Medicago truncatula: one gene and its partner. The protein of the gene in region 1 interacts with the protein of each later gene in a pairwise test. Links are inferred from orthologs where the notes say so. Each region holds a gene or a part of one and is shown on either strand. Other genes may lie near its edges. The genes, in order: transcription factor TCP19 and abscisic acid receptor PYL8.

Region 1 (16,312 bases):
CATTTATTTATGTTGTAATATAAGGACTAAAATGAATAATTTCAAACCAAACATATTATACCATAACTAAAAGAAAATACTAATGTCCAAAAACTTTTGTTTTAATCGGGTATATTCTACGTGTAATTTTAGAGACTAATCTTACGGGAATAAAAAAACTCGGTTATTTATAAATAAACCTACTGCAACTGGATATCTTGTAATATTCTGTATGTAAGTTTCTCAAACAGAAAGTATCAATAATTCCAATAGAACAAAACAGTCAAACATCCATATAAAAACCAGAATTGTCTTTGAGTGTAAACAAAACAACAAAACATAAAAAATGCAGACATCACTTAACCAAAAACCTGTCTCTCAAGGTTGCTGTCCAACCTTATTGTTCATCAAATCATCACAACAATCTCATAACAATTCCACAACCAAACCCAGAAACAGTTCTTCACATTGCCGCCAAACCTTTGCATCAACATCATCCTCAATTTTTCCAAACACCAAATTCACAAACCATGAATCTCTTCCATCACTTCATGAATCATTCACTGAATTCATCAAAGTGTATCCACAATTCTCTGAGACTGAGAAAATTGACAGTTTAAGAGCCAAAGAATATTATCACCTTTCTTTCTTAAACCAATCTTGTCTTGATTATATTGGTATTGGTCTTTTTTCCTATTACCAACGTCAACAACATGATGCTTCAAAAACTCAATTTTCTTCTCCTTCAACTTCAACACCGTTTCAATCTCCACAACAATATTCTGATATTCCCTTCTTTAGTATTTCCTACAAAACTGGAAATTTGAAGACTTTATTGCTTCATGGAGGGAAAGAGTCAGAATTTGAGTCTGCAATGAGGAAAAGGATAATGAAGTTTCTTAACATTTCTGAAAATGATTATTTCATGGTTTTCACAGCAAATAGAACATCAGCTTTCAAACTTGTAGCAGATTCATATCCATTTCAATCTTGTAAGAAGCTTCTGACAGTTTATGACTATGAGAGTGAAGCAGTGGAAGCAATGATTAGTACTTCAGAAAATAGAGGTGCTAAATCTATGTCAGCTGAATTCTCATGGCCAAGACTAAGAATTCAGTCAACAAAATTGAAGAAGATGATTGTTAGTGATAATAGTAAGAAGAAGATAAAGAAGAAAAATGGTCTTTTTGTATTTCCACTTCATTCAAGGGTAACAGGAGCAAGATATCCTTATCTATGGATGAGAACAGCACAAGAGAATGGTTGGCATGTTTTGATTGATGCTTGTGCATTAGGACCAAAAGACATGGACAGTTTTGGTCTCTCTCTATTTCAACCAGATTTTCTCATTTGTTCATTCTACAAAGTTTTTGGAGAAAATCCATCTGGTTTTGGTTGCCTTTTTGTCAAGAAATCTTCTATTTCCATTCTTGAATCCTCCACTTGTGCAGGAATTGTCAACCTTGTACCAGAAAGTACGCAATTTAATCTATCAGAAGATTCTTCATGTAATAATCAAGTAGGAATTGGTCAAAAATCACCATCTATTTTACAAGAACAAGAATTATCTGCTTTGAGTTCTTTCTCTGGAAGGATGCAAACTCCACAATTTGTAAAAGTTGAAGCAGATCCAAAAGCTCCACTAGGTTCTGAAACTATGGAGGCAAGGGTAGTCGAGAACAATCAAGTTAAGACTGTACAAGATAGTAAAAATGAGAGCTTTAACATTGAATGCAGGTGTTTGGATCAAGTGGACTCTTTAGGATTGACACTGATAACCAACAGAGGAAGGTACCTTATAAATTGGCTTGTGAACTCATTGCTTAAGCTAAAGCACCCTAATGATGAAGGGGTTCCCTTAGTCAAGATTTATGGTCCAAAGATAAGATTTGATAGAGGTCCTGCTTTGGCTTTCAATGTTTATGATTGGAAAGGTGAAAAAGTTGAGCCTGTTTTAGTACAGAAACTTGCTGATAGAAACAATATATCTCTTAGCTATGGATTTCTGCATCATATTTGGTTTGCAGATAAGTACTCAGAAGGGAAGGGAAGAGTCCTACAGACAAAAGAAGGAAGAGGAGAGAAAGTAATGGTGAATAAAAAGAAAGATAGAGATGATTTGGGAGTGACAGTGGTTACTGCTGCATTAAGCTTCTTGGCTAATTTTGAAGATGTGTATAAACTATGGACTTTTGTTGCTAGGTTCCTTGATGCAGATTTTGTGGAGAAGGAGAGGTGGAGGTACACTGCTCTTAATCAGAAAACAATTGAAGTTTAATTACTACTCCTATGTAAATTTGATTTATTCTTCTTGATCTTTGGATTATAGAAAACTGAAAAATGTGTGAACTTGAATGAAGATTTTGTGTTGATTCTCCAAGGGAATTAATCAACTTATTCGCTCATTTATCTGACAAGTTCGCAAATTATTAGACATTAATTTATCAGTTCAATATATTTACTTTTACTAGTTTCCTGTATCTTATACTTGCATGCTTCACAGATTAAATATGCAAACTATTTCAAGAAGAAAGAAATCAGTAAACCCTTCATATTATTCAGTTACAGAAGTGTAGGTCTCACCACTATCATATTATCCTGTAAAGATGGTTAGCATTAACTGTCTTTGAACAGATAGTAAAGGGAGAATTGCATTGCATCTGAGGACCTATAAGGAGTTGATTATTTGGTTGTTGTGCTTCACAACTTGTATGTATTTTCTTTAATGATCAAACTGTAGTTTTGGTACATAACAAAATTTTAAATGGAATAGGTCCAGAGTCATAATAATTATCCTTCTAAATAATAAATATGCCAACTCACAACCATTTCTAAGCATATGCTAGGGCTTTGAGCTGAATACTAGAGTTTTTATTCAAGTACTCTATTATAGTTACTGTCGATATGAAATGGTTTGCCTCGTGTTTTAAGCTTGCTCTTCTCTAGGTCTCAAGTTCGAATCCTCTTGTGCTAACAATACCTGTGTTGGGCAAACTCCATGCAGGGCTTTGTCTTGCCTTCAATTGAGTCCCACTAGTGTACGATGGGATTGGTCATCCAGATTAATCGGTCTTTAGATGGATATACGGAGTTAAAAAAAAAAGTTAATATCGATGTAATTCATATAAATAATTCATATAAAGATCAAGCCATGCCAGTTCTGTTGAAACAACACAAGGAGGGTTGAAATCAATGTTGTAAGGTATTGGTGGTCCACAAAAACTCTATGGTTATGATGCAAGTAAACACATATTGGTTCAAGGTTTGAATGGACCTGTCAACAAACAAAGTCATGTCTCACTATGTCTTTGTTTGAATTTGAAAGGTTTGCAATTGAACTTTAAATCAATTTTTTTAATATGTTTGATCCTACTAAGACATGTAAAATAATTATTTCAGAACCCTTTCTGATTTGGCCGCTTAGGCACGTTGCAAGAGCTAGGAATTTAAATATCAAGGTGTGTTATGTTATGTTGGTATAAAAATAGACAAGAAATTAAAAAAAAAAAGAACCAAGTTCGAATGGAATCGTCATATTGAAAATTTTAATGAGAATAAAAAACTCTACTGGTAAATCAGGCAATAAGGGATTTGACTTTGATACCCTTAATTCTTTGTTCATCTTGTTTTGACTTGGACATTGACATCTAAAAATTGTTTGAAGTCTTGCATTTATATCCTTATTAATCAACCACGTCCAAGGACGAAATGCAGGCGATTAATTAAGAAGATAAACTCAAGGTCCTTGATAGAAATTTTGGCAAGTGTACCAAATACTATCGAAGTAGTAAAAATATCGTTCCCACGAGGACTGTGTTAATCTCAATTTAGCAATAACGTTAATATCTAGGATGTGTAAATTTCTTTTAGTGCCCGAGGCAGTAGTTTTGATTGCATAAATTTAAATAACAGAAAATAAGATAGTTTTGGAAAAGACAAGAAGAGAGATGAGATCAGGTCTTTCGAATCATCGATGTTCCCCTAATTGGTATAATGCACCTATTTGTATTAATGATTTTCTAGTTTCACGATAGTTAACAAAATAGCTCTAATCAATCCCTTGAGTTAGGACCCTCTTCTCAAACTACAGCCCCTAATTCCTTAGGTGGTCTAATAATTCTCGAAGGTTTAAAGCACGTTAACCTAATATCACTAACAAACGATTATCCATTCCTAGACTAACCATGTTTATTAGAACAATTCAATTAGGTCTAAGTCGAAAGCTAGGGTCAGTAGTCATTCGTTCTCACTAAATCATGTTTATATTTGATCAGGATATAAAAAGCATTAAGAACAATTGAATTGAATAAAAACTAGATTGTCATTAATAATAAATAGAGTTTCACAACAACATGGATCAATTAGGGTTACAAGAAATCATCTCAGACCTAATCTCTAAGAGATTTAGCTACTCATAATTGAGTTTACAAATAGCATAATCAATGGAAAAATTAAAACATACATAAACTGGATTAGAGATGATGAAATCGCCCCTTCTGCAGTCTTCTGGGTGTTAAAATCGCACTTTAGCTCTCCAAAATCGTAACCCTTGTTTTCAGAATAGTCTTCAGCTTAAATAGGCAACATTTTCTGCGTCCAAAATCGCGCCACGCCTCATAAAATCACGCCACGATTTTGAAAAATCACGCCACCAGAAATCGTACCACGATTTCCGTGGCAGAACCAAACCTTCATTCTGGTCACAAAATCGCGCCACGCCACTCAAAATCGCGCCACAGTTGCCAATTTCCAGCACTTCCAGAATTTCTGCTTTTTACACCCCCAGGCTGTCTAAAATTGCTACAGACTCAATAAAAACATCAAAACAACTGTTTCTTCAAAATCTTGTATTTTTCATGCTTTCCTTGTTGTTTAAGCTTGCTTGTGAACTCAAAATTATCATAACAAGACTCTAAAAATAGCAAATGACTGACTGTCATCAGTCCTATTTCAATATTTGAATGCAAACAAATAAGAACTGAGTCCCAAATTTAAACAAGGGAACAACTTTATATCGTGAAAACTATGATCTTGAATAACATCACAACGACATACTTGAATTGTAGTCAAAGTCTCTACTTTTTAATCAAATCACCATGTATTGTGTCAAAGAAACATCAAACAGTGATAATTTATTTGTGAAATATTCGTGAAATTGTGTTCGCTATGAATAGCAATCCTCTTTAAATAAATCAATTTCCCAAAATCCCCAAATACTCTTATATGTTGACAATTGTTGTAACGCTAAAATTGATAAGATTTGAATTCCGACTCCTTCACTTATTTGTAAGTGAGTTTCAATGATTGTTGTCATTTCGTCTATCTAAACATTTGTATCTAGTAGTGACATGTCTTATACAATACCTGAAAGTTGGCACAAGATTTCAAAACTGGAACAGCATGTAAGGAACAAGATTATTGATGTTCCCACATCAAAGGAGTGTAAGAAACACCACCAAAATAGCAAAATAACCTCATCGATAATTAACTGCCGATAAATTTTAACCGGCGGTCGTTAACTGCCCATGAAAATCGAAGTTAAATTTACCATTTCACGATGTTTCTTAACTTTGTGCAAAGTGTAAACAACAATTTTCAAGGAACAAACCCATTCCTAAAAGCTCAACCACATATTAGTGTTCCAGCCCAAGGTAATTGGCCCAGTGCATGCATGGCCAAAATCACCACGTTGGATTACCCATGACATGGATTTACTCATAACACCCAAATCTGGAAAATATCATGGATGTACCTAATTTGCTTAATATATTAGTATCATTTCTGTGCGATTCTATCTTATTATTTTAATTGAAAATAACTAAATATGTTAAAAATATTTTTTATGTTTATGTTTTTTATTGTTACCCTCCGGTTTTTAGGGTAAAAGTCAGCCCTATTAATATCGAGTTCGGTCGAGAGGTAGTGAAGTCTTAAGGTAAGTTCTTGTTCTTTATTTTCCAGCTCTTTACATTCTGTCTTTTACTTTCATGTTTTTACATTTTAATCTCTTGTCAACTAAGATCATGACTGAGTAGACTTTTCTAATTGGGATTGTTGGAATAATCTTTTTTAATGATTGAATCCTAATGTTAGGTTTCTCTAATCTAATCTCATCATTATTAAATTTTTATATCAAATTTCAAACGAAGAACTAGGAGGTGAAGTTTAATATTAGATCAAATGAGATTAGATAAGATAAACAAAACATGAGAATAGTTTTGTGAGTTTTTGGACAATAAGGTTGCACTCAAAGAGTCTCAATGATAATAAACCATGAGGATAAGCTTGATTATTGTTGAGATACATTCATGTATTTTGAGATGAAACATGAAATACCAAAGAACACCTTGTCCTTAGGAATAAATTCATTATAAAATAGAGAAATAGATGGAGAATGTTTAAGATTTAACATTATGATGAAAACTTCAATCCCATGACGTTTTTTAATATCTGAACTTTAATCTAAAACACCATTACTCTATTCATTTTCAACTAATCAAAACTAAAAAAATTAGATTGATAATTACTTTAATTTCTTGTGCATAGATATTTTTACTACTCGATAGAACTGTGCACTTCCAAAAACCTATCATAGACTAGCAAACTTTCCAATATAAAACACCAACATATCATCAGCATTGAATGAATGGGATGGGACTCTAACATTTCTTGTTTAGCTAATTATCATAAAAATTGGTATGTACTTTTTTTATCAAGGACAAAAAATTAAAAAAGTGGCTTGAAATATCATTAAAAAACTTGATTATTGTTTTTTCGAATAAGTTAAACTAGCACATTTAAATTGATACTGATAAAAATTGATCTAAGATCTTTAAAAAAGTACACTCTCTAAGATCCCAAGCAAACATTAACATGCTAACTCAAGTGGATTTAAAACATGATTTTTTGTTAAAACAAACCAATTTTATTCTTCTTTTGTCTATAACTCGGTGATTTGAGTTAGAAAAAATCAATATATATATATATATATATATATATATATATATATATATATATATATATATATAAGATTTTGGGCTCAATATCTGCTACTATCAATTCTATTTCAAAAAACATTTATCTTTTCTTAAGAAATTGATTACTAACATTTGTCTTCTTTTTTATACAATCACTAGCATTTTTTTAAAAGAATGATGTTTATATCATTTCATTACCAATAATTTGTTCAATATAACGAAGTACATTAGTATAAATAATGGGACTGGCTAATAATGCGGCCACCCCTGCTAAATGGTGAGCTTCCTCATTGACTTGTCTCCGAGTAAACTCGACCTTAGAGTTGGTAAACTTGGTGTTGAAGAGACGGCGGCATGTAGAGAGAACCTGGGCAAACTCTATGATGTTAACGCGATGACCATTAAACGCATCAGTATCAGTCTTGGAATCCAAAGAGAAATTAATATTGTCAAAACCCATGTAACCCATCCATTCATGCGAATAAAAGAGACCCAAGGCTTCCCCCCACTGGAATAGGACACACATGGGTAACCGGGATCACTTTAGCAAGCACAAAAACACATTCGTCATTGCGAATAGAACTACATATCCTTGTTCTATTGAATTGATTCGAAATAAAGGCATCTATGTTACATTAGAAACGACCATGTTGTGGTCTTTGCCAACAAATTTCAGTCGTACCTGAAGTAACTTCGTTGTTCTGAATGGTGGGAGAGAAAACAACACTAGATGCACTTGAGGTAAATGTAGTAAGCGTGTGTTGTGGAAGCACATGCGACATCTTAGCTGCCATATGAGGGGTGTTAGCCAAACTCCAGTCTTCGATTAAATGAAAAGCACGATCAATAACTTCTGGTACTATTTGGTGACTTCTTACCGTAGCTATAGATTGTAGTGCTTCCATAAACTCCACAAGAGAGCTGCAAACCTTTGGGAATTGTCTCGCGAAAGTTCCTAAATGGTAGATAATATTGCATCTGTTGCCGAAGATGTGTTGTTGTGCACACTATTAATCGTATCGCCAATTTCGCTTCTATGCCACACCTGCGCAACAAAAGAACAATTGAAAATAACATCGTTAAGGTTTTCAAACGGTTTGTTGCAAGTGACACAATTAGTAGAGCAATGCACTGCTTTATCTTAAAATCCAACATGTGTCGGCAAACAATCTCTGCACATTCTCCATATTAAATTTTTAACCTTCGGAGGAACCCGCAGCCTCCAAACACCATCCCAATTAAGAAATATAATTTTCCTTCTTTTCAAATATATTGATTATTTGTATCATTTAAATTTTTCAACAACATTCCTTTTTATCCATTAAGAAGAAATCTACGACTGTTGACTATGAATTATACTTTTTATTTTGAAATGGAAAATAGGAGCAAAACTAAGAGGTAACTGCGTGGCATCATCCCATCCATTCATCTAATGTAAAAAGTATATCCAGCCATTAATCCTATTTCATTGTGCAAATAAATACTGATCCTGAGGGACCCTCTCTTCCACACGGATATGTGGGGCTCTCCACCATTGTTAGGGTTTGTTGTTTCTCTCAATCAACACAATTATCTTTTTTTTTTTATTTTTTATTAACAAAAACCTCTTCGAATTCTCAATTAGTCTTTCTAATCTTTTGCAGTGCCTGAAAGATTCAAACACAGTCAACGTATCAAAAACTCTGTTTCTCTGCAAAACAAAGTAGGCCCCAAAAAAAATGATTTTTTTCTTTTCTTAAATTTGAAATCTTTTTCTTTTTTTTTTCATCTGGGTTTTGATCATTCCTTAATGGGTCTTTGTTAAATTTTTATTTGTTAATTTTTGTTTAGGATGGAAGTGAACCCTAACGGCGGCGATGTTTTATGTGAAGAAAACAAAACTGACAGTACTGAAGTATCTCCGTCGGAGACGACGGAGCCTGCGGCGGCGTTAATGAAAGAAGAGCTAACGGAAACGGAAAACAACAGCCTTATTCCGGTGCCGGTTCAAACGATGACAGTGGCGGCGGCGAAGAGGTCATCGAAAGACCGTCACACGAAGGTGGAAGGACGTGGTCGGAGAATCAGGATTCCGGCGACATGCGCCGCCAGAATCTTTCAACTGACGAGGGAGCTAGGTCACAAATCCGACGGAGAAACAATCCGGTGGTTGTTAGAACAAGCTGAACCTTCTATCATTGAAGCAACTGGCACCGGAACGGTGCCAGCCATTGCTGTTTCCGTCGGAGGTACGTTAAAGATTCCAACATCATCTCCGGCGAGACCAGACGGTGAAGATGCTCCGGTGAAGAGAAGAAGAAGAGCTTCAAACAGTGAGTTTGTTGACTTGAATGATCAAGTTTCAATGTGTTCGGGATTAGCACCAATTGCTCAAACCGCATACGGTGCCGCCGCCACCTCCAGTGGCGGTGGTAGTGGTGAAAATGGTGGTGGTTTAGTTCCATTATGGCCTGTTGTAAGTAACGGTGTTGGGTCTAATACAACAGGACCATTTTTCATGTTCCCAAATTCAACTCTAATGAATCAGCCACAGTTTTGGGCTATTCCTGCAGCACCATTTTTCAATGTGCAAACAAGACCTATTTCTGATTTTGTTTCTGCTATGCAAATGCCACAAGAACCTTCAAATGCTGCTACTGCTTATGCAAATTCTAATGCTTCATCTACTTTGGCTCCTAGTTTGAGTTCAGCAACTTCAACTAGTTGTTCTGCTACTACTTCTTCATCCTCTGCTACAAATACTCAGATGCTAAGAGATTTTTCTTTGGATATTTTTGATAAGAAAGAGCTGCAGTTTATGGGTTGTTCTTCTGCAAATTTGGAATCATCTCCCTCTTCAAATTGAAGCTTTAAGTTGGTAGAAAAATGTGCTTAGACTTTAGAAGTTAGAAAAGCTAGTCAATATCTTCTTTTTTTTTTTTTTTGAAAATTGGAGCAGAAAAGCAGAGATAGCTTGTGTCTATCTGAATTTTGTCTTTTTGGTTTTTGGCCAATGCGAAAGAACACGTCTTGAATTTTTGTTTTTAAAGAAATCTTTTTTGTTTGTCTATTTATCTTATAAATTTTATTATTTCTGCCTTTAATATTTATTATGGTCATTTTTCATATTTATTATTGAGAGTAAAAAATAATCAAAATTCTAACAAAAATTGTCAAATAGTCACTTTATATATTTATTGTGGGTTCAACTTATATAATATTTGGGGCGATATTGGTCAAAGTGTACAAACAAACAAAAAAGTGTGGTGAAAGAGAGAAAAGAAATTCAGTTGTGACATTAATCATTGATTTTTTTTTTTTTTGAAGGAGACATTAATCATTGATGTAAATGCATTTGTTAATAATTATTGAATTTTAAGTATGTTCTTTGGTGTGCCACCATCTAAACTTTTTTAAAATATACAAATTGAAATGATCATTTTTTAAAAATATTATAGAAAAAAAGGGTTTATTAAGTTTTTAGTCCTTATAAATATTCACAGTTTTGTTTTTAGTCCCTACAAAATAAAATCACACTTTTTAGTCCCTGTGACATTTTCCTTAAGTATTTTAGGGACCAAAAATCTTGATGAAAATTTTTACAGGGACTAAAAATGCTGATGGAAAAATTTTATAGGAACTAAAAATGTTGATGAAATTTTTTATAGGGACTAAAAAGTATGATTTTATTTTGTAGGGACTAAAAACAAAATTCTGAATATTTATAGGGACTATTTACTTAATTAACCCAAAAAAAAATACATAAATTGATTCAGAATAAAAAATAAAATAAAACTTGTTTTTCAAAATGCAAATGTAAAAACCACTAATAACGGGAAGAAAAAAAAAACGTCATCGTGAGCATGGAAAATGAATAAGATGAAGTTATAGACAAGTGTGATACAATTCTGAACAAATAAGATGAAAATTATATATTAAATGAAGGAAATGGAAGAGTTTGTTGTTCTTTTAGATGAAAATGGAAATTGATTGAAGAAAAAATCAGTGAGGTCTGCATTATTTCTTGTTGAATTGAGGATAATTTATCCATAATGACAAGTAAAATTCAATTTTAAAACAAATGTGATAAATATCACATACTATCAAATAAAGGAGATGAAGAAATTTAATATTTTTGAAATGAAAATGATAACAGATTGTAAGAAAAAATATGAAAAAAAGGTTTTTTTTATATTAAATTAGCATGTTTTCTTTTTTGGTCAAGTTAAACCTCAATCCATATATCTACTAACTGAGTTAAATTTACACGGACTTTGTTTATATTTTCTATTAAACAATGATCTTATATCATCGATAAAAATGTGAATTCTTATTTTATATTGAAAAAAACGTAGATAAATAACCTCAAGTTTGGGGAAGTAGGCAGTGCAAAAAGAAAATTGAATTTTTGAGTCAAAGGTAGTGCCAGTGGGTCCAACGTCCCACCGTGCGGGGTCCAGTTTACACGTGCGAAGTCGTTTATAATTATCCGATAATTCTTAAAACGGTGTGAGGTTTGGGCTACCTAGCAGTGTGCGTGGCATTAGAAAAATGGGATCTTAGAAAGGTCACGTGAGTTTCTATCAGCACGTGATGTTTGTGGGCCCCAAAAATGTGGGTGGGGAAAGGGAAGGGTCCGTGGAGCATGTTTAGTGGCTGAACTTGGGCCACGAGATTTGGTCACGTGATTGCTGGATTATGGCACGTGCCCCTATGATTTTTTGGGACCCTCTCGTGTTGTGGAACCAAGCTGGCCCCAGTACACGTGTCGACTTTGCTGTTATGTTTGTGGGTGGACCAATATTTTGTCCTTCTCAAGGTACTTATATATAAGTGGTGAAATCAATAAAGTAAAGGTATGCAAAATGAAAAACTCCCTCCGGTCTAGTGGTGGAACCTGGATTTTTATAAAGTTCAAGCAAAATAAATTCACAATACATTTAAGAGGATTTACATAAGAAATTGCAAGTAAATAATCAAAAATCTATAAAAATTGTCCAATTTATAAGAGATTATATAAAAAATTCAGGAGAACTTACATAAAATATTGCAAAAAATTTGGGCCACTTGTCCGGACTCGCCGGACTTTAGAACCGCCACTACTATCTCCTTTCATTTATGCTACCAATTGCCCATAATTTACCTTGTGTATTATGACAAGAAAATTATAAATTCCATGACATAAAGTGTGGATGTTCCTTTGCATCACAAGTCTACACATCCTGCTAGTCCAAGTTCCTTATACCAGATTCCTATACATTTTACATCTAAAGCACCTCTGCAAGCACACCTACATAATTTGCAGCACACGCAAATAATGCCTTCAGTATTTTATAACTTGTTTAATACCTCAATGGCCAATTGAACAAATACTTGTGATGACTGATGAGGAGCTCAATAGTTTTGCATGACCCTGTGTTTCATCAAAAGATGGCCAATGCCTTTTATGTAAGTGCATGTGTATCCCAAAGACTGGTCCATGAATTTAAGGGATGGAGCAAAAAACTGCATAAACATGATATGCAACAGCTCCTCACTCCTCACCCTGATGGAGCAATCCAATGTAGATGTTTTCAGGGATGGTGTACTGATTGGGGGACGGAGAATGATCATCAAGTGAGTAGTGACTAAACAATGCGGCGATATTCAAGAAGGATCTGGTTGTTGTAGACGGTGGCGAAGCTGACATAAATTTTACGAGGGGCCATATATAAAGAAAATATATATACTTTTAAAACCAATATATTAAACTTAACAAAATGAAGGAAAAAAAATCATAGTATTTTTTACTTTATATAAAATGTAAATTAAAGCAGCATAAAGGAAATAAAATAAAACTATCAATATATAGCCACTTAGGCAAGTTGAGTTTGATCCAAAGCTCACATAATTTAATTATGGAGAAGTGGGGTGTCCGGAGTTCGAAATCACGGAATACCGATACCTATTTTAATATATACAATTAAGTTGTTTGTAACAAAACTCATTCTGTACTTAATGTCAAAAGAGAGGTGTTATCTAGCGACAAGTATTGTCCCGAGAACATCCTGAAGCTGATGTGTTTGATGCTGGAAGGGTGTGAAATCCGGATGTAGTGGAATAAAGAGTTGTGGTAGGTATAATTTTGGTCAAAATAATGACATGTCCTCTCGTGAAACAATTCGCTATGTTTATCATTATCCATGTCAAAATATGACGATTAAATTTATCAATCAAGTGATAATATTTTGACTTTTCTATTTATGTTCGTTTTTCCTCTTATTTTTTAAGAAATGCTAAGGACACACTCTCAAACACACTCTTTTAACACTCTCCAATGACATGAGGTCACATCACCTCCATTTTTTATTCTTTTACCTGTTAACCTGTTCTACAGGTTGAGAAATAACAACGTTTTTTATTTTATTTTTTCTTTAACTTAGACTCTGACTTCATCTTCTCCGAGACTCCTTGCTCTCTACAGAGGAAAATTCTACAATTCTTATAAAGGTGGATCTGCCATGGGTATTCTGTTCATGATTTTTATAAGCATCGGATTCATACAAACAATTTTTTTACCTTGGATCGAAAACCTGATACGAGGGAGATAGATTGTGGTTTGTATTGAACCTATAAACAAAGGTACCCAAATCTGGCCTGTTTAATGGGAACCCTGTTATGAAGTTTAATTAGAAAGATTTAGGCTTTGATGTTTGAATTGAGGAAAGATTGTGGGGATTGAAATTTGATGAAAAAAGATTGTGGAAATTGAAGTTTGAAACGTGAATTTTATCCAAAGTGAAAAAATTGTTTGTATGAATCATGTTTTCTATGGTGATGTTTTTAGGTTCCATTGTTTAATCCTGAACTTGAAGAGTCTGTTCTGGATGGGAGGTTGAAGCGCAGGAAGATGAAAATCTTTAATTACTATTTTTTAGTTAAATCCAAATAATAAAAAATAATAAGTAATAAATATAATGAAGGATGGTGGAAACCGGTTGCAAGTCATGGTGTTAAAAAACTGGATGACATGGCAAATTGTGAGTGGAGTGTGCTAGAGGGTGTGACCCTAGCATTCCTCTTATTTTTTTCATTTGAAGAGATAAAGACACACAAAATTTTGAAAAAAGTAAAAAATAATTAATGATGATGAAACTTAATTGATGGTAGAACTCACATCTTATTTTTTTTTGTGTATCTCTTTCTAAATTACATCATCCATTTATGTTATTTTCAACGATGGAGACAATCCTTATTCATCTGCTTGTAGTAATAATTGTCTTCCATTTATGTTATTTTCAACAATGGAGACAATCCTTATTCATCTGCTTGTAGTAATAATTGTCTTGCTTTTTTCAATTTCTAAGTTGAATGTGTTCGGTAATGCTTGTGGGTTTTGTGGTCGATAAACTATGATCCCCATTTTTTTTTTTAATTTGTAAATTGCTCTATTCAATTATTATCGACGAACAAGAAAAACGTATTCACAAAATAGAATATTCCAAGGAGAAGAGAGGAGTATATAGATACAAATTTTATTGTTTTAGAATGATGATATAATTGTGAATGCAGTAACCGAAGTTGAAAATTGAAAATTAAAGTTTTTTCTTGATCTTTTAATTTTGTACATGTAAATAATTTGTATTTTGTTTTTCATGGCTACCACATGATAGTCGCCCATTGGATGTTAATGTGACTTTTTTTTTTTTTAATAAAGATGTTAATGTGACATATCATCAGTGCTAAAGGATAAAGATATTTGATTTTGCAAGAAGTAAAACAAGAACAAAAGTACAAGGACCAATACCAGAATTCACTGGGACTTGCCATATATTTAAACCTGTTTTTAAATTGTAACAGGAGGCAATTATTGACCAATTTTCCATTCACTCAACCAGAGCAGCAAATTTGGTATGGTGTAAACTGTGAAGTAACAACAATGTTCGTTTATATTTATTTTAGTTTTTTCTCCAAACCGCCCAAATTAGATAGCAATTTTTTCGTGCACACTATTATACTCCATCCCTCGTCAACTAACTGCACAACTCAACTTTTGTAAAATATAAATCTGTACAACTCAACTATCCTGAAAGGTATATATCAACAGAAGAATTCTGGAAACAAAATGCTACCAAACATTTTTAATGTACTTCTATTTTGCGGTACACCTGAATAATAATAAAAAAAACAATTTTACAAGGAAAATAAAACCTTGACAGCCTCAATTATGAAGCCCTTGACATAGTCGCTATCAAATTGTTCTGTACTTTTAGTTGATTATTACTGAAGGCATGAGTCTTGGTGGATTGATATACTAGCAAGGTCCTAAAGCAGAACAAAGGGAACTCCAAATTCTGTACTTCTAGGCTAATATTCCAAACTTTGAGTGGCTTCAAAGTACAATAATCTGAGTTAAGCATGTATTTTATTTGCTGAAATGGATCACCTCAGTTCTATATATACCCTAATACATCTTTCCATGAAGTTCTCATCCAATCCTCATTTTACAGTTCTCAAGCTATTACCTGGTTTATCAAATGGCTCCTCTGCCAGCACAAAACACCTTTCCAATCCTTTTCCTCCTCTTTACAATATTTGCATTATCCAAAGCTGAACTTCATGCCCATTACTATGACCAAACATGTCCACAATTGGACAAAATCATTTCAGAGACGGTTCTAACTGCTTCTATCCATGATCCAAAAGTCCCAGCCCGTATTTTGAGGATGTTCTTCCATGACTGTTTCATAAGGGTAAGTATGATCGCTCAATCTCTCATTTAAAACACACACTCACACACATATATGCTATGTATAGTTTTTTTTACCAATGGGTTTGTAATCTTCTAATGATTAATGTTCAATGATAGGGATGTGATGCATCAGTGTTGCTGGACTCAACTGCCACTAACCAAGCAGAGAAAGACGGCCCTCCTAATATCTCAGTTCGATCATTCTATGTGATTGATGAAGCTAAAGCAAAGCTTGAATTGGCTTGCCCAGGCGTTGTTTCTTGTGCTGATATACTTGCTCTTTTAGCAAGAGATGTGGTTGCCATGGTAATATCTATCTAAAACTAGTTTAGACCTGCTACAATCTTGATACTTCTAGGAAGCCATTTTATCCAATAAATGTATCCTATATGCCTATGTAGAGTAGATATGTATGGTGATCTCGTAAAACATTTCATAGAAGAATTCAAGTCACTTAATATAGATTTAGCTAATAATACTTAGAAATTCAAAACGACGCATTTATAATTTCTATATGCAATATGAACACTCGCTACTAAGAAATACATTCAAAACGACATATTTATAATTTCTATATGCAATATGAACACTCGCTACTAAGAAATACATTCAAAACGACATATTTATAATTTCTATATGCAATATG
Region 2 (18,008 bases), on another chromosome or scaffold:
ACATTAGGATTAAGCAGTTCCAGCAATTTCCTTCCTGTATATATTGGTGATGATAAAACTGATGAAGATGCTTTTAAGGTATATAACCTTACCATCACTTAATTTGTTCTTAACGATATATATAACATATGCACATATATTCGATATCGAGTTAATAGTTACGGCTTAATTTTCTCAACTTTCTGTAGGTTATAAAAAGAATGGGGCAAGGTTATCCGATTATAGTGTCTTCGACTCCAAGAGAAACCGATGCTTTGTACTCTCTGCGTGATCCATCAGAAGTACTAATCTTCTTGTCAAGGCTAGCAAAATGGACGAAGACATATTACTCAAGAAGGCCTTTAAATATTGGTAATTAAGATAAGATATAGAATATAAATCATCAAAGTGAAAGTTTTAGAGTATGCATAGTTACTTCCCACAATGGTTTTTGGAGAAGTGGGTAGGATACTTGTTACTTATTTTCCTTCAATTAGTAGTTGGTTTGTAAAATAACATTGTATATGTAATATATGTTTCCCTTCTGTAAAAAATGTTCCAAGATAGAATAACTTCTCATATAGAGTATATTTTGATATCAATGAAGCAAAATTTAAAGGCTATACAAGCAAAAGCTTTGCATGATGATTACATTTATAACAATAGAAAACATAACTCATACACTGTTCAATTCAATGAAGCATCATAAATGATCACACAAAAAGGCTGATATGATGGCAAGACAAAATCAACAATATCTTTAACTTGTGCAAAATGATAAATCTGTCACATTCTACATTCTCATTCTCATGAACCTGACGAATAATTGTTGGAACCTATACTCATGGGAATTAGCCAACCAGAATTTCAATAGGGGACAGATGGATTGCCCGGATTTATCCAGTGAGAACAAAAGATTAAAAAAAGACAACGATAAATTGACCGGTGAATTGGCACTTGCGAAGAAGTGGTGCGACAAGTTAGTAGCTTTTCTACAGGACATTGTCAATGTGGGATCAGATCATCAGATTAACCGCATCATCGACAAAGGACAAGTGGGTTACATTTTGATGATGACAACATTGCAATAGGTGAATGTAGAGCCTTTGTTCCTTGCCGAATGATACTGTTAAACTGAGAGATGTGGTTCATGCCATGTGTTCCTTGCCGGAGTAATCTGAAAGATGCGGTTCACCTACTCCAATATGGTTATCATAAAAACGCGCCACATTTAGGCTGGACACACGTGTTCCTTGCCGGATGATGCAGTTCCATTTGCCAAAAGAGATTTCTGTAAAAACAATATAAAGGTATGTTAAATATGAACTATAGTGGTGAAAAAATAAAAAGAAAGAACATGAAATAAAACAAAGCATTACCCAATAAAATTGGATTACGAACATGGTTGATCTGGAGAATTGTCCGAATTTTCTTGCTCATTAACAGAACTACTTGAGCCTTCAACTTGACGTGATGCTTCTTCTTTACCCTCTAAGAGAACCAAGCACAAGCAAAGGCACTTATTATAATCCATAGTTTTATATTTATAATGATATCCTCATGAAAAGTTATAGAGAAATAGTTTGTTACAAATCTAATTGAAATAACCATTTAGATACCTGGTTGCTCATTTTTCCATCTGCAATGATTTCGACCACGGCTGGAAAACCTTTCCCTTGAATTAGAATTCAAATTGTTTGGCTGCCTGTGGAACTGACCGGGTCTAGAAGATCTTCCCCTTGAATTAAAATTCAAATTCCCTCGTCTCTCAGATATGTTATATGTGTAATTGTGATATCTCTGCATAAAATTTAAACATTAAAAATATATTATGCTTAATTGAAATAGAACATTTGCAGGTGAAAGAAGGGTGAAAAATATTAACCTCATGGTAAGCAAATGGGTTTGGCATGAAAGTTCCGATGCCTCCACTAAATATGGGAAGTGAATAAGGAATGCATTGGTTTATGTTGCTGTGCAAATCAGAAGTAAATGGTGGTGGCATACGAGGAACTGTGGGAGGCACAACGTTCTCAGAACCTGAAGGTCTCCAACTCCAATAAAATGGTGCTCGGAAATCTATTGAATGTAAAATAGGGGGAGGATGATAGAAAAGCTCCTCTAATCGTCCATTCTCACAATACCGTCCATACAGAAGATTCTTCCAATAGCTTTCAAAATCACCATATAAAATATCATAAAAGTGGTTCAAAAAATAATGCGAATCTTCAACATGGCTAATATTCTCATGCCTGAAGATGTCCATGCTCACAGTTGATGGATCATGGACGTCATCAAGTTGAGTAGGCTTCAGAGCTGAGGATGATAGACTGCACTTTAATGTTGAGTCCGAAGCTGGAATGTATTTACAACTTGTTGTTGGTTTCATCACATTACTATCTTTGATTATTGCAACAGTTGGATCGACACTATCTTTTTCCACTTTAAATGATCGTTTTCCACTTGAAGCAGTTTTTGATTGAACAGCAGATTCTGGACTAGAGCAACAATCACTAGCAAAGTGATGATGCATGGCATGACTTGATGAACATAGAGGGCTTTTGTTTTTATCAGTAAGTGCTTTTTTCTTGGAACTTGTATGTTTTCTATCACAACTCAACATGTCATCGGTCCTTGAGCTTCGGGTATGAGAAACAACAGATGCATCTTTTAATTCTTCTAATTGATTATCAGACTTTTGGTAAATACCCTGAGATTTGAGAGAAGCTAGATCCAGCTCATCCTCAAATTCTTGACATGTTAGCTTTCCAACTTTTTTATCTCTTATATCAAGATTATAAATGCTGACACGAATCCAAGAACCATTCCCATGTCTATTCCACGTGTTCTCGAAAAAGTGATCAAATTCAGAAATCAGATACTCATCGGTGCAGTCCAATATTCGCATCATCTGTTCAGCACCATATGCAATTGCACTCTTTATTCTAAAGAAATTACCTGTAGAATAGATTATAACTAGACAATCAGATAAATTACTCGGAGATATTATAACCAGACAATCAGATATTTAGATAGAAGAAGGATCACACCAGTAATAGGAAAAATAAGCTATCTTCTTGAACACAGACTAGAATTAAAAAACATGAAAAATATAATAAAAGAAGAGAGAGGCAACACAAATAATCCATCTTCTAACTTATATAGATTATTAGTCTTGAAATCATATCTAGCTACAGGTCTAACAGGGCATCCAAAATTTGCAATTGTTTGGATCCACTGATATATTATTTAGCATAATTTGGAGTTATGTATACTTAGAGATTTTGTTCATCAAAATTACATTTATTAATTTATCACACTCAAAAGTGGAAAAATATCAATGCTCTTAAGAATATACTGTAGACACTTCATACACCTTCTATATTCAGCGAACAAATCAACGTTCTTTTTCTTACACGTATGTAACAGAATCATCTTTGATAAAAGAATTGTTTCAATGAAGGTTTTAAAGTGAAATACCTCTACTGATGCTATGCCCCAGGTTGTTGTTTTCCTGCAGAGGATCAATAATATTGATGTGTTTGGAAACAAAATGCTTCTCTCGATTTTTCTGGTTGCGCCAACCATAACAGAACTTTGAAGCAATAAGAAAGCTTTCTGTGAGCAGCAAGTCTTGGCGATCTTTTCTTGGACAATCAGCTATCGCAATTTTGAATTCAGAAAGAAAAAAAAAAGAGTAAATGCTATCATTCATAATGAAGAGAACATATTATTCAAGATATATGATCAACTCAAGAAATTTTTCCACATACCAGTCATATTAGGAAGTGAGTCTAGGGGCACTGGTCCACTCAAGCTAATGCAATAGTTTCCCCAGTCAAATTTACTAAAGAACTCCAGAAATCGAAACAGTACCTACGATATGCCAACAATAAGATCAAAATAACATAAATTTTATCTTCTTATCCTTCATAAGCCATATTAATATTAATATATACATCAAAATAATCAAGTTTGTCACCTCAAGTGGTCCAACAAATTCATTGTTGTAAAGATTAAATAAGTATAGGACTAAAATTTCCAACGCATAAGTTGAAAAGAGTCCACTCTTAGAACCCAAGAGACGACTCTCATGGTAACACCAAGCTTTTATCAATATAACACTGCGCTTGAATATATGATTCCGACTTATCAAATAATCAACCTGCAATAATCGATTATTTTTTAGAGATCTTGCAAAATAAAAAAATATGCTTGAAATCACAACTTACTATAATAAATATTACCTCGTCCAAAAAACAAAGTGAGCATAAACCACTCAATTGGTTGAAAGATATGTCAATTACAAATTTTTCAACCAAGCACTTAATGATCTTCACCTGGCATTGAACAACAAAAAACACGCGAAGGTTGAAAAATATTTTTATCACGTTTTTTTTTATCAATTATCGGAACAACTTTTATATTTGGATACTCATAAATACTATACACGCATTATTTTCTCTCTATCTCTCTGTTCCTATCACATTTATCACATCACTTAAACAAATTGTATATGAAAATGCATTGCATTGGATAAGAAAAAAATACCTCTGCATTGACAAGCTGAACCTCTTTAACCCTAAATTTAGAAAACTCGTTGTTCATTTCACTTTCTAATATTTGCTGAATATGAGGGATGAAAATTTCAGGAAATAGTTCATTGTTGCCAAAAATTGTGAGATCAATATCTCCATCACGTAAGTAAGTCTTCAAGGGTACTGATCCAAATTCAAAAACCTGTTATTTAATAAATAAGTCGTCCCGTTATTATTCATACAATACTATTATTCAGATATAAAGAGAAATTAACTTGTTGATATTAATTAATATTAAGTTGGTTTGAGTGAAATTAGACTCAAATCTCTAAAGTAAGATATATATTAGATTCGAGTGTTGTAAATTAAATAAAAATTTGGTTGAAAATGAAGACTTAATTAAAGTTGGTCAAGTTCTTTCAAAAAAAAATTAAAGTTGGTCAAGTTATTAGATTTTTTTTTGAAAGAAAAAAATAAAGTTGGTCAAGTTATTAGATAAAGATCGGTTAAAGTAAAAAAAAAAAAAAAAAAAAAAAAAACAAGTATAGTGCAATGAATATCCAAAATTTTCATTGAAGAAATCCAACATTATGAAATAGAAGTACTAATAATTATTCTCTAACACAATTTTTAAAATAGTCTCGTCTATTCAGTTGAAATTTAAATTTTACTAGCTAAATTATTATAGATTCGGTAAAATTTAATTAATAGAAACAAGTGTGTTAAAAAAATATGTGTTATACATCATGACATAGCATTTTTCTTTATCAAAATGCAACAACTTGGGTGGATCTCTCTCTCTCTCTTGACAAAACAAACATGGATCTCTTATTAAAAGAATTATAAAACAGTCAAGTTTTAATGTCAATAACATGCATGCCAAACACAGTTAAGTAGTACGTAAATCATAACTATGATGAAATCTATATGGCTTCAAAATACATACATTAATGAAAGGCTCGAGATATTTTCGGTAACTAAAAAATAATGAATATTGGGGTGCAACACAAGGATTTCATAACTATAACTACACTGATATATAATTAATGAGTAGAAAATGAAGCAGATTTTACGTACCTTGACAGGGACATGGCTGATGATGAGGCCCTTAATGTAAGATACAATGTTATTTCGAAGCGTTTCTGATTTAGGATTGGGCTCAAGAAATTGAAGCAGCTCTATAGTTCTATCTTCAACTTGTGACCATTTGCTTCTTTCAAGTACCTTGGGAACAAAGATTTCTTCACTACATAGGAGACCATTTGGAACTAAATTATTCACCATGGTTGGTTTTGTTTCCTGCATATATATGGACCAGGAAATGAAAAAGTAATCAAGTGGTTAACGAGATGACAAATCATTTGAAAGAACTCAAGTTCGATATATGATAGTATTAAGTTGAGCATAAGCTAATTAGCTCAACAAAATTGTGAATAATCCATTAAAAAATAAAAACAAACCTTTTAAGTACTGGCTTTAAATATAAGAGATCTATTTCATTAGATCGATAAATAATGTATAACTAGAGACATAAAATATAAGAGATCTATTTCATTAGATCAAACCAGGCAAATAAATCATTGAAAATAGTTCATAAACATTTTGCTATCCATACACAATTGATGAAGTAATATAAAATAAGTTACATCTATTGTTAGGCATATCAAACTGCTTGACTTTATCGTAAAAAAATAATGACATTGCATAATATTGAGTCTCAATGTAATCCTCTCCTGTAATTGTATAGATCGAGTTGGATAGAGAGAGAATCTTACAAAAAAATATTATTATTTTATTTTGGTGGGTCAATTTCTCTCTTCAATTGATTTTTTGTTTTGTTTTTGAGGCACTCTTCAATTGTAATTGTCTAGAGTTACATTATTAATAATGTAACTCTAACAACATTGTAGCATATCGTTGCTTTGATCCATTAAAAACATGATTGCCAATAGAAAAAGAGATGACATCCAATAAAATCAGCAAATTAAAAGCATATTGGATCTTCTCTTTCTTGATCTAGTCCAAGCCCCATCAAAAGATGAGAATCAAGGAAGAAAAAAAGAAGAAAATTATTGATTTCATGAGTCTCACATAGAAAAACATAAAACAATAAAAATTTCATAAAATCATCAAAAGAAAAGAGATATTGAACCCTAAGTAAGATCTCTTTCAAATATTTTGCATAGTCGATAAGAAACAACATTAAAATTAAATATCAACATTGAAGTTTGAGATGATAAAAAGGAAGTTTGTGTGAAACTTACAAAAGCAAATTTGGATCAAGAGGTGAATGAAGAAGAGCAAAAGATTGCAAAATAGTCGATTAGTAACGAAGAGAGTTGAAATTTTTCTAAATATTTGAGTTCGCTGTGAAGTAACGAGGTTTGCAAATGATGGAATTTATTCACATGCCAAATAACCTGAGATACTAAATTGTTGGTTTAACGACATCATCATCTTGAAAACAGACCAAACTCAAACCGATAGATCACAAAAAGTGTTGGTTTAATGGCGTAATCATCTTGAAAATAGACAAAACTCATTCTGAATTTCACAAAACACGAGGATAACTATGAGAGACATTGGTACTTGTGAATAGTCTAAATGTTTTATTTTGTTTATAATACACCATATGCCTTTAATATAAACACTCAATGCATATTTTACATATACTTCGTCCGACCACTTAAACAAAAATGTATTTTTTAGATCATTCGTTGAATAATTGATGCATCTGACCTATATTTTTGTCGAGATACGACAGTTTTTCGATGAATCTAAAAAATATTTTTTTTTATAATAGTGACCAAGAGAAGTATTAAAGAAGTCAAAATAATTATTCGCATAAAATTGAGGATGACTACTATATACATTGGTATTTGTGAATAATCTAAATGTTTTATTTTGCTTCTAATACTCCCTATGTCTTAACTATATGCACCCGTTATATATTTCACGCACATTAGAAAAAATTGGTAGTGTAATTCATGTGTATATTTTGTGAATAATTATTACGATAGTACCCTTTATTTTAATTTTTCATATTTTAAAATAAATTAGTAGTATTAATTAGAATTATGTTTAGAAAAAAATAAATAAATATGCATTTGAAAGAAACTTTATATTTATGGTCAAAAAAGTTTCACAAAAGGTGCTAATAGATAGGGACAAAGTGAGTATAAATAAAAAAACTAACATTTTGATGGAAAATATTAAATCACTATTTTTTTATTGATTAAATCACTATTTTTAATGGCAGTAAAATTGACCTTATATAAAAAATAGTAAAGTAATTTAAGAATTGAACAGGGACTTAAATATATCCCACCATTTTTTTTAGGGAATCATTAATGTTTTTATTATTAATGCTTTTATTATCAATTCTACATTTTATAATAAATACTTTTCATTTTTAATGAAAATAAATATCATGATACATTTAATATTTTGTTTCTCCTTTTAATTTTCATTGTTAATTTATTGAAGAAATTATTATTTTATAATCATGAATATGAATTTTCTTTTAAATTTTTAAAAATTAATTATATTATATTATAATATAATAAAGTTTTCTTAAAATGAAAACAAACAAAACCAGAAATAATATATCACAGAAACCTATGACAACTATGATAAGCATTGATACTTGTGAATGGTTTATATATTTTATTTTATTTTATTTCTAATACGCTCTATTCTATAATTATAAACACTCATCGCAGTCCTCGTGAATTTAACTTAGTTAGTAGAAACTATAAACAATATATAATATATGTAAGGTTTGAGGTTCAAACCCTAGTTACCACAAAAAAAATAAAAATTATCATTCATCGTATATTTCTCATATATTAAAAAGTTCATAATGATATTTCATAAAAATCGATGATGATTGTGATATGCATTTATACATATGAATAATTTAAATATTTTATTTTATTCGTAACACTCTCTACGTCTCTACTTATTAATACCCGTTGGATATTTCAGATATATGAAGAAATAAACTTTTTTAAACGGATTTGGTTTTGACTTTTTATATTTGAAAATAAATTATTGGTATTAAATAGAGATATATTTATAAAAAAATAGTAAATACACTTAATAACTTGGAAGGAATGTTTATGCATATTAACAATTTTTTCTTCTTCTCAAAAGATTCTTATAGATGGAGATGGAGGGGGTATAAATAAAAAATTAATGATTATATAATAAATTCTTTTCATTTTTTGATGAAAATAAATTTCATTATTTTATAATACATTTCATATTTGGCATCTAATTTTCTCTTAACTTTCATTTTCATACTTAATTTATTTATGAATTTACCATTTTATAATCATGCATTTAACTTGTCTTTTAAATTTTCAACAATTCATTGTATCATATAGTAATAAAATAAAATAAAAAGATTTTTTTTATAATGATAGCAGTCAAATCTCATAATGATGATTCAAAAAAATCAAAGATGATTATGATAAACATGTACTCCCTCCGGTCTCAAATGTAGGGAAAAAAACAAAAAAAATTGTGGTCTCAAATGTAAGAAAAAGTATAGTAAAAGCAACCTAATAAATGCTACTATTCCAATTTTACCCTATCTCCATGAGTTCAAAAGCCACTTTCATTAATTATTACTAAAACATGACAAGGGCAAAATTGGAAAGTTGTACATTTTTTAACATGATTTCAATGTAATCAATTCATTTTCTTAATTAGTGTGTTTTTTTTTTCCCTACATTTGAGACCGGAGGGAGTACTTGTGAAGACTTTATCTAATGTACATAAGTAAAATGTTCTAGCAATACACAAATGTATTTTTTATGATTGAATTAAGGAGAATGCTAACTAATACTCTGATAATCTAAAATTCGACAACAATGTAAGTAAAATCTGACAAAAATTGTTCCACTCTCGAATTAAACTCATGTTCTCATGAATAATTTTTCATTGATGAAACTCATTAACCATTTAAATCAAATTGTTTGGTTATAAGAGCTCTTAAGTCATTATATTATGGTGTAAATCTATACGATAACCATTTTTATAAATAATTATCAAATATTCAATTCTTATTTGTTCCCTCAAAATAAAAAAATCTTATTTGACTTTAATATAAGTAAAAAATCTTAGAAACTACGTATTTAATATTTTAAAATTTTATCTTTTCTTTACGAAATTTATCTTTTTACAAATCCTAGGATCACTTTGTAAATAGATGACATAATGGAGGGTTTTTCAGACATCTCAGTCCGAGTATCAGAAAACGACAACAGCACCAAAAAGAAGGACAAACCAACCAATGGCGATATGGTAATAAAATCTCAGTAACAGTAAGTTGGTGAAGTATTCAAGGAAACAATGAAAAACACACATTTCACATTTTTGTTTTTTTCTCCTTTTACTTTCATCATCATTTTCATAAATTAAAAAAAAATAAAATAATTCAAGATAGATAAATGAGAGAGAGAAGAGTTGTTGGTGGTGGATGACGGTGCAACGCGTTCCTTTCTTTTTTTGTCAAACTTCTCGAACCTTCCATCGTTGAAACTCGCCGGAACGGAAATTCGATCTCCGATCGTCGGAATCAAGACGTAGTTATTCGTTCTAGATTCGATCGCCGGTGGCGTTTTGCGTTTATCGGCGATGGAGAAAATGAACGGAACTGAAAACAATGGAGTGTTTAACAGCACGGAGATGGAGTACATCAGAAGACATCACAATCAACAGCCAGGAGAGAATCAGTGTTCTTCTGCACTTGTTAAGCATATCAGAGCTCCTGTTCCTCTTGTAATCAATCTTACTTTACTTTTCATTATTCATTTTCCGTTTTTTATTTGGTTATTTCTGTTTTTTTTTTTTTTTTTTTTTTTTTAGCTTTTTGGTCTATGAATTGTTGATAGTTGAATCTCTGGAACACCGATACATACTTCTGATGAAAGGCGTGTCTGATTTGTCGGTGTCAGACACTTACACTCTCTGACACGATGTAATTACATTCAATTAATTCATTTTTCACTGGAATGCACAATATAGAAACTATGTTGATTGAATTAAATGATTCTCCTATGTTTATCACTGGAAAATTGCTAATTTAGTTTGAATTGACAAGTGATCGTGTGTCTGGTATCTGACACGTGTTGGTGTGTTGGTGTCTTACGCCGACACATGTGAATTACATTCAATTAATTCATTTTTCCAAATTTTTACCAGTGGTGTCTGTGTCAGTGTATGTGTCGTGCTTCATACTTGAATATGATGATGATCTAGTTATTTGTATCTGCAATCGATATTATGATGTGAAGAGTTTGGCTGTGGCAATGTGTAATGCAGAATTTAGAAACTATGTTAATTGAATTGAATGATTCTACTATGTTTCTCAATGGAATTGTTTATTTATTGCGTTTATTTTTTTCTTTCTTTCTCTAGGTATGGTCTTTGGTGAGGAGGTTTGATCAGCCGCAGAAATATAAACCATTCGTGAGCAGGTGTGTGGTGAGGGGAAACCTTGAGATTGGGAGTTTAAGAGAAGTTGATGTTAAGTCAGGGCTTCCGGCTACAACTAGTACTGAAAGATTGGAGGTCCTTGATGACAATGAGCATATTCTAAGCATCAGGATTATTGGTGGTGATCATAGGCTTAGGGTATGATTACTTCCTTACCATAATTTACCTTCTTTATTCTTTTGTTGAAACAATAAAACATTTCCTCAACCACTCATTATGATGAACTAATTATATATGTTTGTGTGTGTAAGACACACATTGCATCGGTAGAAACAGAATATACATAATTAATCTCTGTTGGGAGCTTTAAAAATCTCTAATCCATATCTGGGATGTTGATACCGTGAGGGAGGTCTATTAGTTCGTTGTTGAGTGTGTACATTGTGTTTCATTCATATAATTGACTGAGTGCAATCATGTGTGCTGTTGTAACAACTAACAAGATGTTGAATAGTAGACTTCATTATTTTGAACAGTTATTATATTTGTTGCATTATTCCAAGTAGTATAAGCTCTAGCCAGTAGTATAATATTATACACGTCATTTAGTATATTTGGGGTGGAAGGAATTTTTGTTATCCTTTTGTCTTTATGATGGTAAGCCTGGTACTTGTTTCCGATGCATATGATATCTACTTTTTTAATGTTTTCTATCATAATTTAAACTTGAAACCTGCAAACTTTCACTGCATCTCTTCAAGAATTTGCTTCTCCATTCTTGCTCAACTGATAAGTAGCTTCTAGATTTGCTTTAAGATGCAATATCCATAGCTCAAAGATCTGAGCTCTGATATTAGTTTATAGGTACATGGTCAAAATAGGAAGGAAATAGATGAATGAAGAGATCATTATTAAATAGCTTATCTCTCAACGAGATAATTCAAGTTAATAGAGACTGAATGTTTACAAGAATTCCCAATTCCCGGAAATTTAAAAGCCTGGTCTAGTCCATGTAAAACTAACTAACCAGCTCACTGCTACACTTAGGTTCTGTCCCTCAAGTTATATGCTTTTTTTTTAATGGTCCCACTAGTTATATGGTAACAGATATTCCTAACACTGTTTCTTATCATATATTGCTCAGAATGGTATAAATTTGATTCTATTTTGAGTCATGTGCATCGTTTTACAAAGGAAAAATATCTGTTAAAGTGCCGCTTCTTCTGCTGGCGTAAAGTTAATGTAGTTGTCATTTGTCAACAAGATCCTTGATGTTTGGTTCTTCTGGTTTACATTGTTCCCTGTGTGTAGCTAAAACTTTCATTGTCTAGGAATTCAACCAATTGTCAAACCAAGGACATGTTTAAGATTCCATGAATTCTTAGGCCACTAATTAACTGTCATAGTTTGCTAACTTTGAAACTGATGTTCCTATATTATGATGTCACTAGAATTGCTTTATCCCAAAAGCCTAAGTGCTTATTTATCAAAAAAAAAAAAAAAACCTAAGTGCTTAAGCCACAAGAATGGTTTAATACAAATACAACCAAGATTCCCCTGAGTCAATAATCTCTCTTCACTTTGGAGATGTTCCTTTCAAGGTGTATAATTTTATTCCCAAGAGCACTGTCCGGGAATGTTACTTTGAGGTAAATTTGAAAACATGTTTGGTCCGCATTTAATATTTTGGGAATACGTTCAAAATTCAAATGATGCGAGAAAGAATTGGAAATTAATATTTCTAATATACCTTTCATTCCCATGCTATGTGAAAGAGTATATCCACCTCTGATTATGGAATATAAATCAAGTAAAACATGGAAGGGTCATTTTCCTAGACTCAATATTGCCTTAGATTGTTTTCGTCAAGGCTTGCACTTAATTTGGAAATGTCATATATTTTTATTTCTTTCTGTTGCATGCTACAGTTTACCTCCTCCTCCACCTCGCTTAATTAACAACAAAAACGATCTTTTGTTTTTCAGAACTACTCATCTATCATGTCCCTCCATCCAGAAATTATTGATGGAAGACCAGGAACCCTGGTAATTGAATCTTTTGTGGTAGATGTACCAGAGGGGAATACCAAGGATGAGACCTGCTACTTCGTTGAAGCCTTAATTAAGTGCAATCTCAAATCACTTTCAGATGTCTCAGAAGGACATGCTGTGCAGGACCTCACTGAACCACTTGATCGGATGCATGAGTTGTTGATAAGTGGCTGAAAACTTTCTGCCACGGATGAAGCTTCAGGGGCTTTCCGATCTTGGAGGCTTAGGAGACGGACTGGCAAGTGGAAATAGTGTCTGTTTCATATGTTATAGACTTGTAGCATTTGCTTATTTGGTCTGCTTTATTAATTTCTCTGTTATATATGCTGGTTTCTCTCTTTGGTAGTGTTAAAGAACAGAATATTTTAGACAGGTGTCTGAATCCAGTACAGTAAAAGGTGAAGAAGGAGCATTTGCTTCAGTGTGATCTTCATGTCATGTTCTTTCTGTATATAGGTGCTGGTGAAAGTTGGTCTGTAAAATTGTTTTGATTAGTTGCAGTAAAATTCCATCATTTAGCTGAGGATACTTATATATAAACAGATCTCAGACTTCTTTGTTTCATTATCTAGCAGCATTATTATAACTTTATCGAATTCAGCAATCATATTTATATGAAAGAAACTATAGAAATGTGTAAAGAGTGAAAAATCAGAAAATATGAAGAGATTTTGTTTGTTTTTGTGTGTGTGGCCATTATGACATTAATTTAGACCTGGTAACATATTAAAAAATTATTTATGATCAAAGGTCACTTAATTAATGTGAATGATGATGATAATTGGATGTAACACAAATGATTCCGTAAAGAAAACTTTTTTTGTAGGCCGTTAAAAAGAAACTTAAATGATACGCATAATATTTTTTTTTTTAAAAGGTGTATCTCGAGGTGAAAGGAACAATTGTCGTAAAAAATAGATGAAAAAAGAGTAGAGGGGTGATAAGGAAAAGGAAGAGGATAATTAATGCTAGGGTTCTATTCCTCATCCCCACGAGATTTAACCTTATCAAATGGTTTGACATTGGTGCCGCCACGTTAATGATTTTGGATATGATTATCTGTGAAAGATAATGGCTGTTCGTTGTTATTTATTCTTATTCAAAAAATACGTAGAAATATACAGTTGTTTATTAGATGAATTATGTATGGGCAATATAAAACACTTGCATATCTATCCAATGAAGTGATACCATAATGTCATTTGTTACGTTACTTTTCAATTATTTTAAACTTAAACATCAAATATTGTGTATTTCATGGTTTTTATTTTAAGTGAGTTAAGTTATGAGAGTTCACTAGGAGCATGACATACCCGATACCTTAAGGCTCATAGTGGTTACAAAGGTATTCAGAGATTGTCCACCAACGAAATTCTAAAGCTAACAACATGAGTTGAACCCACGTTCTTGAGTCCATCTTTGCTCCATTTGGGTTTGCTCCATTTACCCAATTTACCATCATGGATGTGTGACATGTGGCAAATCAGAAAACCAAGGGCTGGATTAAAAGGGTTGGAAAATGCATTTGTTTTATAAAAAACAAGGGTACGCGCTTTTGTTCCAACTCCACTCACGACCCTTCTTCTTCCTCTCCCCACATCACTTCTGTGCTTCTCTCTCCCACTCGCCGGCGCCGGCACCGTCGCAGCCCTTTCTGTTCATACAGAAGCGGTGCCACCCCCTTCCTTTTCTTTTTCCGATACATGCAACATGGATTGAAATCGATTCTGTAGGATTTTATTTAGGGATGTTTCTCCCTTTTTGGTACTTTTCTCTCTTCAGGACCAACATATTTTTCTGTTAAATAAGGATTGCCGTGAAAGAGTCTGTTGCAGTTGCCAAGTATCATCATTCTATCGAAAGGAAACCTAGAACAAGGCCCGATTATAGTGCACAACCCACCAAGAAGAAGAAACCCATTACAGAAAGAGATTATGATACTAGCATTAAAAGTGCCTCGAAAATTGTTTAGCCAATCTAGGTGAGAAAGAAAATCCTTTGCTTATAAGGATCCCTTGGTGAATTCCAAGCTTGAGATGATAAAGAAGGAGCATGCACCAGCAGACAACAAACGCGCGTGTGCTTTTTCCAACCTTTTTAATCCCAGCCCTTGATTTTCTATTTTGCCACATGTCACACATCCATGATGATAAATGGGGTAAATTGAGCAAACCTAAATGGAGTAAAGATGAACTCCACGTTCTTATGGGATGAGTCAACTTTGTATCAACCGGACCAACCTAGATTGGCTAGGTGTTTAAATATTGTTCTGACAATGGCAAGGAATGAGAAAGGAGAGCAAGAGTCACAAGAGATTTTTTGAAAGACAAATTAGTTTAGTTTAATATAGTAATCTGGGGAACTGGGAAATAGAATACTAGCAAAGATAATCAAGTATTTATTAAACCATTATTTAAATAAAATAACAAATATTGTGGTGACCGGATATCAAAAGCATAATTTTTAACATATGCATCGACAACTTTGTCAAAAAAAAAAAAAAAAACATATGCATCGACAATTATTCCGAATCACATTTATATTTCAAATGAGGTTGCATGTGATAAAAAACTGGCAACCAAACATGCCATTAAGTTTCCATGTTAGAAAGTTAAATAAAGCTTATATTCTGCCATCCATTTTTCATGTTATTTGTTTTTAATGAAAAAATAATAGTAAAAAACAACTGCAGTCACGAACTCACTATCCAAAGCTAAAGAGCAAGCAATATCATAAGATACTACTTATCAGAATTATTTTTCAATACCATTTCCCAGACAAACTAATTGTATCCAGACCTAACCCAAAAAAGACCCGAACAGAACATTTTGTTTGGAAGTAAGCCAACTAAAAGTTGATGGCCAATTGCATGCCGGTTCCCATTCAAAATACGCATATAAAAAACGAAAAAATGAGAAGTATCCTATTTGAGGTTCAAAACATAATCAAATGACAGCCAGTTTCACCAGATGGGAACTCTAATTCGAATCACTTCTGCAGAGGCTAGCTGACTCTTGGTAAATGTAGATCTATTGAGACACAGAAGCACGCTATTGAGTACGATCAGATCCATATGCGGGCAATGTGGATGTCGGTTGTAGCATGTCATGATTTGGGAAATGCATTCCTGGTGGCATGTTTCCAGGTGGCATTTGCATTGGCCTTTGTAGTGGCATGCTCCCAGGTGGCATTTGCATTGGCACATTTCCAGGTGGCATTTGTAGTGGCCTTTGTAGTGGAATGCTCCCAGGTGGCATGTTTCCAGGTGGCATTTGCATTGGCCCATTTCCAGGTTGCATTTGCATTGGCCCATTTCCAGGTGGCATGTTTCCAGCTGGCATGTAAATGTTATTGTGCATCTGCAATGGCATAGATTGAGCAACTGTTGGTAGAGTTGTTCCCCATCCTGCCTGAGATTGGGGTATCATAGCCGGGTCAGAAATTGGAGTATATTGAGAACCATTATACTGCTGAGCAGGAGGAACCGTCATGGGAACAGGTTGCCCTAAAATTGAGGGCTGAGTGTTCACAACTGGTATCATAGGAATGGTATAGTCTCTACTCCTATCATTATTGACCTGTAATTACAAAAATCATCGTTGAAATTAAACCGAATCTGTGAATTCATATTACATGCAGCAAGCTTACAAAATTATTAACCAGTTGATCGCTGCCATTGCTTCCCCTTCAGAATGTATAAAGGAAAATATAATACTGAACAACAAATCTAAAATTACGACAGGTTTCTTATATTAATATTATCACATTTTTTTTATTTTTTAAATACAGTCAAGAGATTCAGAAAGCTGTGATGTAGACCAATGATTATAGGGAACCTTTCAAGACTCAAAGTTAAAGGATTTTCAGTGAATGATACACTGACATCATCCCAGAAAGGAATATCAAGGTCTATAACTAGATAGTCCAGTTCTTCAGTATATTTAACTAAGAATAATCCCATTTCTCTCATCTTTGAGGTTAGGAATGCTGAGATCCTAACAAGTTATCATAATGTTTTTAAGGCATCTCCAATTCATATACTCTTTCAAGGATTCATTTAAATGACATCAATCCTCAGTCTGGGTTGATTATTTACCTTTATACTAAGATCTGTATGACGTGAGTACGAAAGGTGAAGCTTGCAAAAACCTCCATCATATATGCAGTGTCCTTCCAATGCTTCTTTGGCCACAACAGCTGTCTGAGTATCTGCAAGCCATAGCATGTAACTCTGAATTCTCAAACTTAGAATGACAGAATGACAGTACAAAATAAAACAAGGCAAGTAGTAAATCTCTATCTGCTGATAGGTTGAAATTCCCCATGTTTCGATGCCAAGTCAATGACATAAAAATGCATAGATAACACTTGAACTATCATTGTTATACCTATCAAAGATAACTATAGGCATTGCTGAGGAGATTCCTAGTGAGGAACATACCCAGAATCCTTGAGAAAACAATCATATCTTTGGAAATAATTTAGAGGAAAATTGAGAGACCAAGAAGGTGCAGCTACAAACAAGTATCTTTGTTAAATATTTCTATCCAAAATAAATCAATCTCAGTAGGATCACTTTTGATTGAAGGATTATTAGATCACAAGAGGCAGGATCTCCCCGGCAATACTGCAAACAAAGGAGTTCATCTACATGCATATGCAAATGCATACTGTAACACTTGCCAGTTTCCTCAATAAGCCATAAGTGTTCGATTTTTTTCATAGAATTGGACAACATAGAAGCACATTTGAGAACTTTCCCTAAATGCAATGTCTAAAGCTTTAGGTGATATGGATAACAGTCGGCAAGCACACCCACTTGGTTTGCATTTTGCACTAATACTACTAATGTAGAGTACAAACATAATATATCCAAATGCTGACCAGTTAAATTCTTCAAATAATCTTAGATCGAACCTGGATATTGAATCAGAGCCTGTAAACCACCATTCTTATCAAACATTGCAATCTTTTGGATAGGACCAAAAGCAGAGAA

What was found.
Region 2: the proteins of transcription factor TCP19 (region 1) and abscisic acid receptor PYL8 interact in binary tests that used the Arabidopsis thaliana proteins (3 or more experiments, as listed by UniProt). The link is inferred for Medicago truncatula from reciprocal best matches to the Arabidopsis thaliana genes AT5G51910 and RCAR3.

Annotation. Positions count from the first base shown.
Region 1 is NC_053042.1:49,602,350-49,618,661, forward strand, and holds transcription factor TCP19, read left to right. Parts: upstream 1-8,362; 5' UTR 8,363-8,498; exon of another isoform or gene 8,499-8,505; intron 8,506-8,523; exon of another isoform or gene 8,524-8,599; 5' UTR 8,600-8,658; intron 8,659-8,786; 5' UTR 8,787-8,787; coding exon 8,788-9,801; 3' UTR 9,802-9,843; exon of another isoform or gene 9,844-9,892; 3' UTR 9,893-9,970; downstream 9,971-16,312. Other genes in the region: molybdenum cofactor sulfurase, read left to right, coding at 326-2,220, 2,984-3,056; uncharacterized protein, read right to left, coding at 7,430-7,497, 7,639-7,743, 7,835-8,111; peroxidase 66, read left to right, coding at 15,452-15,667, 15,784-15,972.
Region 2 is NC_053044.1:44,777,851-44,795,858, reverse strand, and holds abscisic acid receptor PYL8, read left to right. Parts: upstream 1-9,951; 5' UTR 9,952-10,160; coding exon 10,161-10,304; intron 10,305-10,943; coding exon 10,944-11,159; intron 11,160-12,946; coding exon 12,947-13,186; 3' UTR 13,187-13,598; downstream 13,599-18,008. Other genes in the region: probable trehalose-phosphate phosphatase 2, read left to right, coding at 1-78, 189-359; polypyrimidine tract-binding protein homolog 2, read right to left, coding at 16,063-16,590, 17,109-17,221, 17,930-18,008. UniProt on the Arabidopsis thaliana protein: Receptor for abscisic acid (ABA) required for ABA-mediated responses such as stomatal closure and germination inhibition.